Astyanax mexicanus: one gene and its partners. The protein of the gene in region 2 purifies or fractionates together with the protein of the main gene of each other region. This does not show direct contact. Links are inferred from orthologs where the notes say so. Each region holds a gene or a part of one and is shown on either strand. Other genes may lie near its edges. The genes, in order: sqstm1, vangl2 and dvl2.

What was found.
Region 1: the proteins of vangl2 (region 2) and sqstm1 purify together in Homo sapiens (affinity purification with western blotting; 3 studies listed by BioGRID, with this or other methods). This does not show direct contact. The link is inferred for Astyanax mexicanus from reciprocal best matches to the Homo sapiens genes VANGL2 and SQSTM1.
Region 3: the proteins of vangl2 (region 2) and dvl2 purify together in Homo sapiens (affinity purification with mass spectrometry; 4 studies listed by BioGRID and IntAct, with this or other methods). This does not show direct contact. The link is inferred for Astyanax mexicanus from reciprocal best matches to the Homo sapiens genes VANGL2 and DVL2.

What each region holds. Positions count from the first base shown.
Region 1 is NC_064417.1:17,978,357-17,982,112, forward strand, and holds the start of sqstm1 (sequestosome-1), read right to left. Parts: upstream 2,831-3,756; 5' UTR 2,673-2,830; coding exon 2,504-2,672; intron 507-2,503; coding exon 411-506; intron 191-410; coding exon 1-190. UniProt on the Homo sapiens protein: Molecular adapter required for selective macroautophagy (aggrephagy) by acting as a bridge between polyubiquitinated proteins and autophagosomes.
Region 2 is NC_064415.1:12,406,698-12,410,453, reverse strand, and holds the start of vangl2 (vang-like protein 2), read right to left. Parts: upstream 2,643-3,756; 5' UTR 1,925-2,642; intron 1-1,924. UniProt on the Homo sapiens protein: Involved in the control of early morphogenesis and patterning of both axial midline structures and the development of neural plate. Plays a role in the regulation of planar cell polarity, particularly in the orientation of stereociliary bundles in the cochlea.
Region 3 is NC_064415.1:18,703,997-18,707,752, reverse strand, and holds the start of dvl2 (segment polarity protein dishevelled homolog DVL-2), read right to left. Parts: upstream 2,557-3,756; 5' UTR 2,060-2,556; coding exon 1,899-2,059; intron 1-1,898.

The DNA of each region.
Region 1 (3,756 bases), on a different chromosome or scaffold from region 2:
TTTGGAGGTGGTCCATGGGGCCCACCATGATGTCCTCCGTGATGTCCTCCATGATGTCCCCCATGATGTTCGCCATGATGTCCACCATGATGGTGCCCAGGTGGCCCCATGTGATGTGGTCCTGGAGGATGGCCAAAGGAAAACCCTGGAAACCCATGTGGAGAGAAGTCACGCTTGTGCTCCTTTTTTTCTGAAAAAACAAAAAAACAAAAAAAAAAACAGGTTATTATTAAGAAGGTTATTAACTGTGAAAAAAGGATTAAAACTGGTTTTATGCTTTAGGTTTTAGGTCTGATCAGATGATATCAAGCATTTCCACAGATTCTCACACTGAATGTTTGCCAAAATGTTCTTAATAAAATCTTTATGTAAGATTCACAAACAACCGTTTGCATTCTTATGCAACTTACCCTTAATGAAGAGACGGAAGGTGTCTTCCTTCACCAGAGTCAATCCCATCATGAGCTCATCATCAGTGGAGAAGGCAATCATGTCACCATCCTCATCTGAAGGACAAGAGAAAAGCGGAAATGAGTTTCTAATATTTTTCTAATTATTAAACAAACTTTAATATTACCTGAATAAATATAAAACTTAAATTATAATTTTATTTATTAAAGGAAAAAACTATTCAAACCATTTTAGCCTTTCGTGATTTTTTTTTTACCCCTAAGCCTAATAACTTTGTTGCACTACCCTTGGCGGTAACAACTGCAATCAAGCTTTACTGATAACTTGCAATGAGTCTTTCACATCTCTGTGTAAAAGACTGAATTAAATTAAATTATTTTAATTCAGCCTCATTGGAGGGTTTTCGAGCATGAACAGCCTGTATAATATCATGCCACAGCATCTTAATCAGATATTGACTAGACCACTCCAAAACCTTCATTTTGTTTTGTTTTTTTTAGAGACTTTCAGGGGTGGACTTGTTTGTGTGCTTCAGGTTATTGTCCTGCTGCAGAACCAAGGTACGCCTGAGCTTGAGGTCATGAACAGTTGGCTGTACATTCTCATTCAGGACTGTCTAGTAAACAACAGAATTCCTGGTTCCATCTGTTACAGCAAGTTTTCCGGGTTCTGAAGGAGCAAAGCAGCCCCAGACCATCATACTACCACCACCATGTTTTACATTCAGGATGATGTTTTTTACTAAAATTATGTGTTAGTTTTACGCCATTTGTAGAGGGATACAAACCTTCCAAAAAGTTCCACTTTTGTCTCATCAGTGCAAAGAACATTTGTCCAAAGTCTCCAAGATGTTTTTTGAAAAATGTGAGACGGGCTGTTCTTTTTGGTCAGCAGTGTATTTTGCCTTGGAACTCTTCCATGGGTACAACTTTCGACCAGTCTCTTTCTCATTATTATATCATTAATACTGATCTAATTGAGGGAAGTGAGACCTGCACTTCTTTATATGTTGTTTTAGGTTATTTTGTGACCTCCTGGATGAGTTGTCCATGCCATTTTGCAATAATTTCGGTCTGCCGGCCACTCCTGGGAAGGTTCAGTGTTCTTAATTCTACAGGTCTGGCAATAATCACGCCTGGTTGTGGATAGTGAAATTGAACTCAGCTTTCCAAAGTGTGATTAATCAGTTAATTTATGGGGGACAAACACTTTTTTTTACAAAGGGCTAGATTGGTTTGGATAGTTTGTTTGATATAAAAATTTGATCATCTGAAAAATGTAAGTATGACAAAAATTCAAAAGAAATCTGTAAGAGGGCAAATACTGCCACTGTACATATATGTATAAATGTATGTATGTATATATATATCATGAAAATATGCTGAAATGCTGTAAAACATCTCATTTAGAGATTTAAACACAAAACTCTGTTTGAGCTTAATTAGGTGTATTTCCATTACAAGGGTGGAGTCGACACACAACCAGAAACAATGAAGGAAAACAAGTCTGAGCAGCTGAACCTGTGTTGATATAATATGCTGATGAACATGAACATGAACTAGCTAACCTAGCTTACTGTCTGTTTCTTTATACTGAAGTTAGAATATTAGCTATCTAAAAACCTTAAAACACATTATAATTATACTGTAAACTTAATTATAGCTTACTGTCATTACATATATACTATATATATATATATATATATATATATATATATATATATATATATATATATACACATACAGCAGGGGGCACTTCAGTTATATATATACACAAAATAAACTTGTTTAAGGTATAGTTTTATAACCAGACCAAAGTCATAATGTCATAGTGTAATAGTGAAAAGAGGCTATAGCTCAGATTTAACCAGATTACACGATGCCCATTAGCTAACCTCGCTAAGTAACTAAGAATTAGTTACAGTGTAATAAGGTGGTATTAAGGCCTCGGTTGGCCGGTTAATAAATAACCCATTCAGGTTAAAGTCCCATTAAACCAAACACTGGAGGAAGGAGCCCAGCCTGTGTAACCCCACACTATTATAACTTTATCTAGTTAAAGAGATTATTTCTGTATTAAAGTCCTAACTTACCTTTGTAGTACATTTGGAATGTGGCATTCCGGAGGTTGGTAAAAACATCCACCACTTTGCGGCTCAGGTACTCGAAACTTGTCGACACGTCCTGGTCGACGGCGAAGCGCCGAATCTCCCTGTGGCTGTCCTCCTTCCCCAGGAGGTAAGCTTTGACGGTCATCGACATTTTCGCGTCTTTTTCTCCCGCGACACAAACTGCTGCGGATCAAGAAGTCGGGCTGTGGGGTTTGTTGCGCAGCAGAAATTCACTTCCCTTTAAATCAGCAGTCAGCTGAGCGTCACGCCTCCTGCAGCCGCGGCTCCTCTCCGATCCTGCCCTCCCGCTCAGCCGCAGCTTTTATACCGCCCAGCCGCCCAATCGGAAACACGGCCTGGGTCCTGGGGGGCGGGGCTAAGTGCTTCTTGACAGGCGGACAAAGCTCACGGCGTGTTATTGTGATCAGAGGCAGTACAACAGCGCGGGGTGGGGGGGGGGGGGGTGGGCGGGGCCAAGCACAGGGGGGATGTTAAAGGCCGAGGAATGACACAGCACTTTCCACCCGGGGATTTCCCCCTGATATCACCACCGAGGACATGTCTCTGTCACTGTGCATACAGCGCCTTTTTAACCTAAAATCAGTTAAACTAAAGTAAAACTAATTTTACTACCAACACTTCAAATTACAAAACCCTGTAATGCTATTTTTACTAGTAGAATCGTTCAGAGTTAAAGATTCATCTATAAAATGTTTGTTAGTAATAATATCAGACCCATTAATTTATAAAACCATTCTAACTAGTCACAGCACAACATATCCTTATAACATAAACTATTTCTTACTAATGTGTCAAAATGGAGAAAATCAGGTACACCATTAGAGGCTCGCTGAGCACCTAAGAAAATGTGGGAACCGTTCTTTGTATATGTGAGGACCTTACAATCCTTTGTTATTCCTGAGTAACTGTTGAATATTTATTGTATGATTGTGTTTTTCTATCTATTATGTTATTTATGTTTCTTTTTTTAGTATTCTTTTTTTCAGCGTACCTTTTTTGTATTTTTCCCTCTATTTTTGCTTAGACTTATTTGATTGGATTGGATTTTGTTCTGCATTATTACATGAAAAAAATAATAAATAAACCTGGAAAAAATATTTCTGACTAGTATAAATGCTAATTCATGTACATTTGATAAGTATAAATATTTATTTAAGAAATGTTTGGTTTTAGATCTCTATAAATACAGTATTTGCACTATAAGGCACACCAGA
Region 2 (3,756 bases):
AAATACAAAAGTAGCTATGATTCACTCTCACTTTGGCTTAAGTTTAGTGCAGCCAGGCGAACTGAGGACAACTGAGTTGGTTAAAGCCATTTCCGAGAGAGATTAGACTAAAACAGGGTGAGTTTTTACGTTGGCAAAATATGTTCAGGTCAAACATTTTTAACTAGTTACGTTTAATTTGACGACTTTATGAACGCATCTTATTTGACTTTTGTTTCCATTCCACCTTAAACGCTGCAGAGGTTACACTGCTTCATTTAAGGTGGTATGGATGCCAAATTTAGTTTAGTATTACATATTTTAAGGCACTTACAAAGCTTAAACAGGCAGAAAACAGACCGAATGTAGAGCTTTAAGCTATTTAATTAAAAATAATTATAATTGCAGTTGCTTTTAATTACTGCACCATTTAAGGTGGAATGGAAGAGCCATTTCCAGACACCCACATACTAAGTTATATCATACCAGGTTACTTTTAATGCATTAAACGTTTAAATAAGGCAAAAATAAACTGTAAAGGAGCTTTAAAAGATTTTAGGTAAAGAAAAATTACTTTAGAGACTCAAACTGCTTTAAATCGTCGTAGGGTTATAAAACTGCTTATATACTTAAACTGAATAAGGATTTACTGTTTATTTATTTAGTATTAGTTAAGCCATTTATAGCTTTAACAATACAAATATAATACGTCATATATGCACTTTGAAACGTTTTATTCTTGATAGGTTAGAAAAATCCTACAGAAGTTGCATTCAAATACTATAGCTACAATGGAAGGGTTAACGTCCTTTTTACACATTATTTAATACCATATTTTTAAGGCATAAAGCTTAAAGAAAAGTAAAAGAGTAAATAAATTGAACTAAGAGCTGTTCATAGGTTTTACTGGCTATTAAGCCTTTATAATTTTAATGAAAATATAGTAGTCATTGTGTGGCTTTAGAATAACTGAAGTTTAAAACATGGTTTAGGAATTCAAACTGAATAAGCAATTAAGGTTTGTGTCTATAAAATTATTATGTATTTAAAAGCTCACAGAACGAAAAGTCAGGTGTCAAATGGGAGATTTAACGTGTTTTGGGGTTAAAACTCTGCTTTAACACTAATTATTTAGAGTTAAAGATGGTTTATTCAGTTGATTTATGGTTTAGTTTCAACCTGGAGGAGTAACGTTAATGAATTTAGTTTATGCTGATTCTTAAACCTTTAACAGCTTAAACAATGAAAAGATATGAGTCAAATGGGACATTTCACGTGTTTTGAGGTTCACAACTCTGCTTTCACACTGAATTTAGGGTTAAAGATGGTCCTGTAGGGTTAATTGATGGTTTGAAGATTGAAACTAAAGGAGAAATAAATGTTCTCGCTGATTATTAAGCCTTTATAATAAAGGCTTAGGAGTCAATGGGAGATTTAATGTGATTTGGAGTTAAACTCTAAACAAAGTGACTCAAACTAAAGGAGGAATTAATGTATTTGCTTATTATAATTAAGTTTTTGAAAGCTCAAACAATGTAAAGAAGAGTCAATTGTAAATTGAACGTGTTTTTGGGGTTAAAACACTGCTTATAGTGACTTAAACTGGAGAAGGAATGTCCTGCAACGTCTATTAATGCTATCATTTTCATTTAATCCCTTTCCACACTGAGTTTTTCTATAGTTATCTAACTTAACTTCTAGCTAACAATGATCCAAGGTATCAAACGTTAGCTAACGTACATAACCTAGGTTAGCTAGCAAACGCTACCTAGCTATCCATTAGTGAGCACAGTCTAATAAATAAGTGATTGCAGGAAGCTAGAAAATGCAATGCAGCCACTCAGCCCAACAAAAGAAGGAAAGAGAAAGGGAGAAAGAAAGGAACGGACAAAAGAGTGAAAAACAGGCTTCGTTTTTGGTTAAAAACGACACTTTGTAGACTCACCCCGTCTCTGAGAGCGGATCCGAGGGCCTGGCAGGAGCAACACAAAGGGAAATCCAAGAGCCGCTGCCTTTTTTCTGCTCCAAACTAAGAGACAAACCGTGCGTTTCTGGGTTCCGCTGTGATGTTTGGCACAAAAGGCAGCTCGGGTTTAGAGGAAAACAAGAAAACAAAGCTCAACAAAGGCGATACTCGCTAGGATGAGCGTAGTGTGAGATCCGAGAGCCTTGTTTGGAGGTACTCCAGTGCGCTTTGAGCCCCGCTGTGTGTGTGAATACGTTCATTCATCACATGGAGCAGCAGATCTGCTGGGAAAGCATCCAGGCGAAGGGCGGTGGAGATCATGGAGAGTAGGTTAGCTAGGTTAGCAAGCTAGCTAGGAAAAGGCACGGCTTGTTTGTTGTATGGTGCGTCTCTATCATCCAGCTATCTCCTTTATCCTCTTCTTCCAAAGACAGTGGACGACCATAAAGAAGCAGCAGCAGCAGCAGCAGCAGCTGTAACTACTTCAACCCCCACCCCTTTCCATTAACACACACACAGTCAGTCAGTCAGCTAGCTATCTAGCTAAGTTACAGGCTACTAAAGCTATGTATTGAAGCTAAGCTAACTTTTTAAAAGTTTAGATGGACTGGTTTGCAAGAAAAGCCCTCAAATCCAGTCCAATCCCAGCTTCAGTCCAGTTTGCTAGCTAGCTTCTTCTGCTCCTGCTCCTCCTGGATCTGGAGGGGGAGCGGTTAGCTGCAGAGCCTGTTTACAGAGAGCCTGCCCACTTCCTATTCTCCTTGTTATGTCATAACAATCACGATCCGCTAGGGGGAGCCCGCGAGCGAGTCCTCAAATAATGGGAGTGAATGGAGCTAAACGGCTAAAAGCTCAAATTAAAAATAGTGTCTAACTACTCATCTTGGGTTTTCTTAAATTTTTAGAAAGCAAAAAAAAAATATTTTTTCTATAAAAGCAAAGAAATTTGAATTTTATACTTAAATTTCTCTAAAACTAACGATTCTTAGGCAGCAAAGACGCTAGCATTGCTGCTACTATGTGCTGGATATACAGCTAGAGCATGTTTAAAAGTCTTATAACTGGATAACCGGAGTTTAAAAGTTTAAAAGCACAAAGCACAAAAAATAAGAGACCACTTCAGTTTTTGAATCATTTTCTCTGTTTTAGTTTTTTTATAGGTAAATGTTTGAGTAAAATTAACATTGTTGTACATACAACATTTCTCCCAAATTCCAAATAAAAATATTCATAGCATTTATGGCTGAAATAACAAAAAAAAGATGCACAACTTTCAGACCTCAAATAATGCAAGACAAAAATCAATATGTGGTGGAATAATCCTGTTTTTTAATCACAGTTCTCATGCATCTTGGCATGTTCTTCTCCACCAGTCTCACACACTGCTTTTTCAAGGAGATTTTATTGTCATTCGCATCACATTTTGGATAAATTTATGCCACTCCTGGCATTCCGTTTGGTTTGATGGCTGTGATCATACATCTTCCTCTTGATTATATTCCAGAGGTTTCCCATTTGGCAAAATCAACGAAACTCATAATTTTTAAGTGGTCTCTTATTTTTTTCCAGAGCTTTGTAATGGGACATGGGGCGTGTGAATTTTTATTTTGCTTAAAACAGCACTAAAAGTAGTACCTTGATGTGATAATTAGGGGTGGGTGATATGACACGATATTCCAGGCGTTCACTATATTTAAAAATGTAGGCGATATTATTGACGAGGCCCTACTGGACATTCAGCTAGAGGATGTTAAAAAAGCCTTATAACTGTAATTTAAGATTTTAAAATTGTTGTCTTCAGTAATGAAACG
Region 3 (3,756 bases), about 6.3 Mb from region 2:
TTTTGTGAATAGTGTTATTGCAACAATACCCTGAAATATCATATTAGTTTAGGGACATTTGGGCCATGCTGTTCGTACAGCATGCTGTTTGTACCAAAAGGAAAATTCACACTGTTCTCATTTGCCATTAAAAAGTGTATTTAATATGTCCATATAATTTATTTTACTTCAATCCTGAACAGAGGAATGCATTATTAGTGACATGACATGTTGGATCATTGACTTCTGTTACAATTAGATAACAGGGATCTTCCATATCACAGCGTATGCAATAATATTTCCAAATATAATTTAACATTTACTTTGTTGCAGTTGTGTATTCTTGACATTTTGTTTTATTTGTCAATGTTTTGTCATAACAGCAAGAATATTGTTACTGCAAAAATACCCTAAAAAAATCATGATATTATTTTAAGGCCATGTCGCCCTAAAATAATAACGCCCTATTACAGATATATGGACCTATACTTGTTACAAGTGAGAATTATTGCAGATGTCTGAAATTACAACTTTTGGACTTTTTTTGAACATTATGGATATGTTATGGATATGTTGTCCTGGTAACATAACTTTTGTGAGAATTGTAAAGATATTAGCTTGCTTATAGACGGTTCCTGAAAGTGTAACTTAACTAATAAATAACTAGTAAAAACAATAGTTAAAGCCTAAAGATTGTAGTTGTAAGAACTGTAACCAAATGTAAGAGATGACTGACTAGTCAAAAGTATATTATGGATATGTTGTCCTGATAACATGACTTTTGTCATAATTGTAAACATTTTAGCTAGGTTATAGAGGATAGCTGAAAGTGTAACTAATAAATTAATTGTAAAAAATAAATAAATATATATATATATATCAAAAGATATCTGTAACTAAAGATTTTAGTAATAAAAACTGGAACTATAGGTAAGAGATGACTCTGACTAGTCAAAAGTATATTATGGATATGTTGTCCTGATAACATGACTTTTGTCAGAATTGTAAAAATGCTAGCTAACTTATAGACGATACCTGAAAGTGTAACTAGTAAATTACTAGTAAAAAAAATAATTATAGATATCTGTAACTGAAGATTTTATTAGTAAAAACTGGAACTATTGGTAAAGTATATTAGTATAATAGTATATAATAAAGTATATTATGGATATGTTGTCCTGGTAACATGAATTGTCAGAATTGTAAAAATGTTATAGATGATACCTGAAATAAGAGTAACGTTAACTAGTTTTAAAATGCTTTACAGAGTGTAAAAACTGAGTTAGGACTAAAAGGGCTTGACATAGCCCATGATGATTCATGATTTAGCTGGCTTGAGTTTGGATTTTATTTACGTAACGTTAGCTTAGTTAGTTAACAAGTAACGTTAAATTAGTTAACCAGTTATGCTGTACTTTGGTGGGCCTGACATTCAACTAGGATAAGCAGCTACCTAACGCTAGCTGGGTTAGCTTGGTCAGGAGGAGAACTATCATACATTTAGCTAAAACAGCTTTATCTAATTTTAGATGCATTAAAATGTTTAAAAATGTTAAATCCTCTGTGCGTGTCTTTGTTTTTTTATCCGGCGGAGTCTGATTTAACTGATAGTGTGCTAACCTAACGCTACCTTGAACAATGCAGTAGGTTAGCTAACCTAGCTTATAAACCTGGACGCTGTTGTTAACAGTCAGCCTAACTGTCAACTTTTCCTTTAGAAGAAACTGTTAAAAAGTTCATCCTTCAGCTCAACAAGGCGTGTGGAGCCATAATCTACAACGGGAGCGAGGAATGTAAACTTTTTCTAACTTTTTAAAGTTTTTATAAGAACTTTTCTTCCTCTCGGCCACATCATTTGCATGGCAACCCATTCCTGCAGAGCCCCCACTCCTCTATCCCTCCCTCCTTCCCTCACTCACCCGAAGTCCTGATCCATAGACTTGAAGAAGAATTTGTAGTTCGGCTTGTTTAGGACCTGTTTAAAATCCAGCAGAGTGATTTTCTCCGCCGGTATGGGAATCTTCACCAAGTACGGCGTCTCCTCTTCATCGATGTGATAAATTATTTTAGTCTCCGCCATTCTTTCTCCTCTACTTTCCCCCTCTGGATCCTCTAAACTATGGAAGAGGCTGGGAGGCTAGCTAGGTTAGCTAGCTAACTGGCTAACGCTAGGGGTAGCCCAGCTAACGAGAAGAAGAGGAGGAGGAGGAGAAGAAGGAGGAGGAGGAGGGAGGAGGGAGGAGGTGGTGGAGGGGGTCGACTGGAGCAGACTGGAGTCTCAGGCTAACTTTACCCAGCGTTTCCAAGCAAGCGAGCATAAACTTTTAACCAACAAAAAAAAGCTCCAACGGCCCCCAGCCCACCTCCACTGCCTCTATATCCCCAACATTTCCCTTTCTCCTCCTAAACTAACTCAAAACAATCAGCTAAACCCTTAAAAAAGCGCCCGGCTGCACAAATCACACCCGCACTCAGCTCAGCTCTGCTCTCTCTGCTCTCCTGCAGCCGCTGCTTTTCCTCCAACAACAACACGGCGGAGTTTCAAACTCCTCTCCAGTGAAGGCCAACGCGGCGCGTGACGTCAGCCCAGCCAGGGAGGGTCCTGCTCACCCGAGGAACAGGCATGGGTTAGGGGTTTGGGACAGAGTTTGGGATCTTGGGTTGGATTTGGAAAAGAGTTAGAAATTTTGAGTTTGGGACAGAGTTTGTGATTTTGGTTTGGGTTTGGGAAAGAGTTAGAAATTTTGGGTTTGGAACAGAGTTTGGGATTTTGGTTTGGGATTGGGACAGAGTTAGGTGTTTGGGATTTTGGTTTGGGTTTGGATTTTGGTTTGGGACAGGGTTAGGGGATTTTGGTTTGGGACAGGGTTAGGGGTTTGGGGATTTTGGTTTGGGACAGGGTTAGGGGTTTGGGGATTTTGGTTTGGGACAGGGTTAGGGGTTTTGGGATTTTGGTTTGGGATTGGGACAGGGTTAGGGGTTTGGGGATTTTGGTTTGGGTTTTGGTTTGGGACAGGGTTAGGGGTTTGGGATTTTGGTTTGGGATTGGGACGGGGTTAAGGGTTTGGGGATTTTGGTTTGGGTTTGGATTTTGTTTTGGGACAGGGTTAGGGGTTTGGGGATTTTGGTTTGGGACAGGGTTAGGGGTTTGGGGATTTTGGTTTGGGATTTTGGTTTGAAACAGAGTTTGGGATTTTGGGTTTGGGACAGAGTTTGCCTGAAGCTGGTGAGTTGGTGAAGCTGGTGTTGCAGATGGTCCCATAAATGCTCTCTGCATTCTGGCTGAGACAGCTTGGCAAAATGTCTTGAAGTGAGTTGTAGAGGCATGTCTAGTAGTCAACATTCTCTCACCAAGAGGTACACTACCTAAACACAGCCTCTGACAGCCTTTTCAGACCAAACCTGTAATTGGTTTATGTCTGTCTGAGAAGTAACTCCATGCTGACTTGTGCAGCAATCTGGGTGCAATAAGGGAGAATTTTTTGTGTGTTTACTCACACAAAAGGTTTTATCATGCACATGGAAATGTTGTGGCTTAATAGCTTTGTTTGATTAATAGTTAATGAACACTATTTGTCAGTTCACTGTCACATTAAACCCTTTTTGTTTGTCATCTTGTTTTTCGTAGTTCAGCTCAGTGAGTCCTGGCAGGTTGTCATGTATCAGACCCTCCTAGTTAGTGTTTTAGGTTAAATCTAATTTAAGCAAAGAGTACCAAAGTGTTTAACACACAAAAATAAGCAGAGAATGAAAGAAAAACATGTAAGTTTAGGTTGA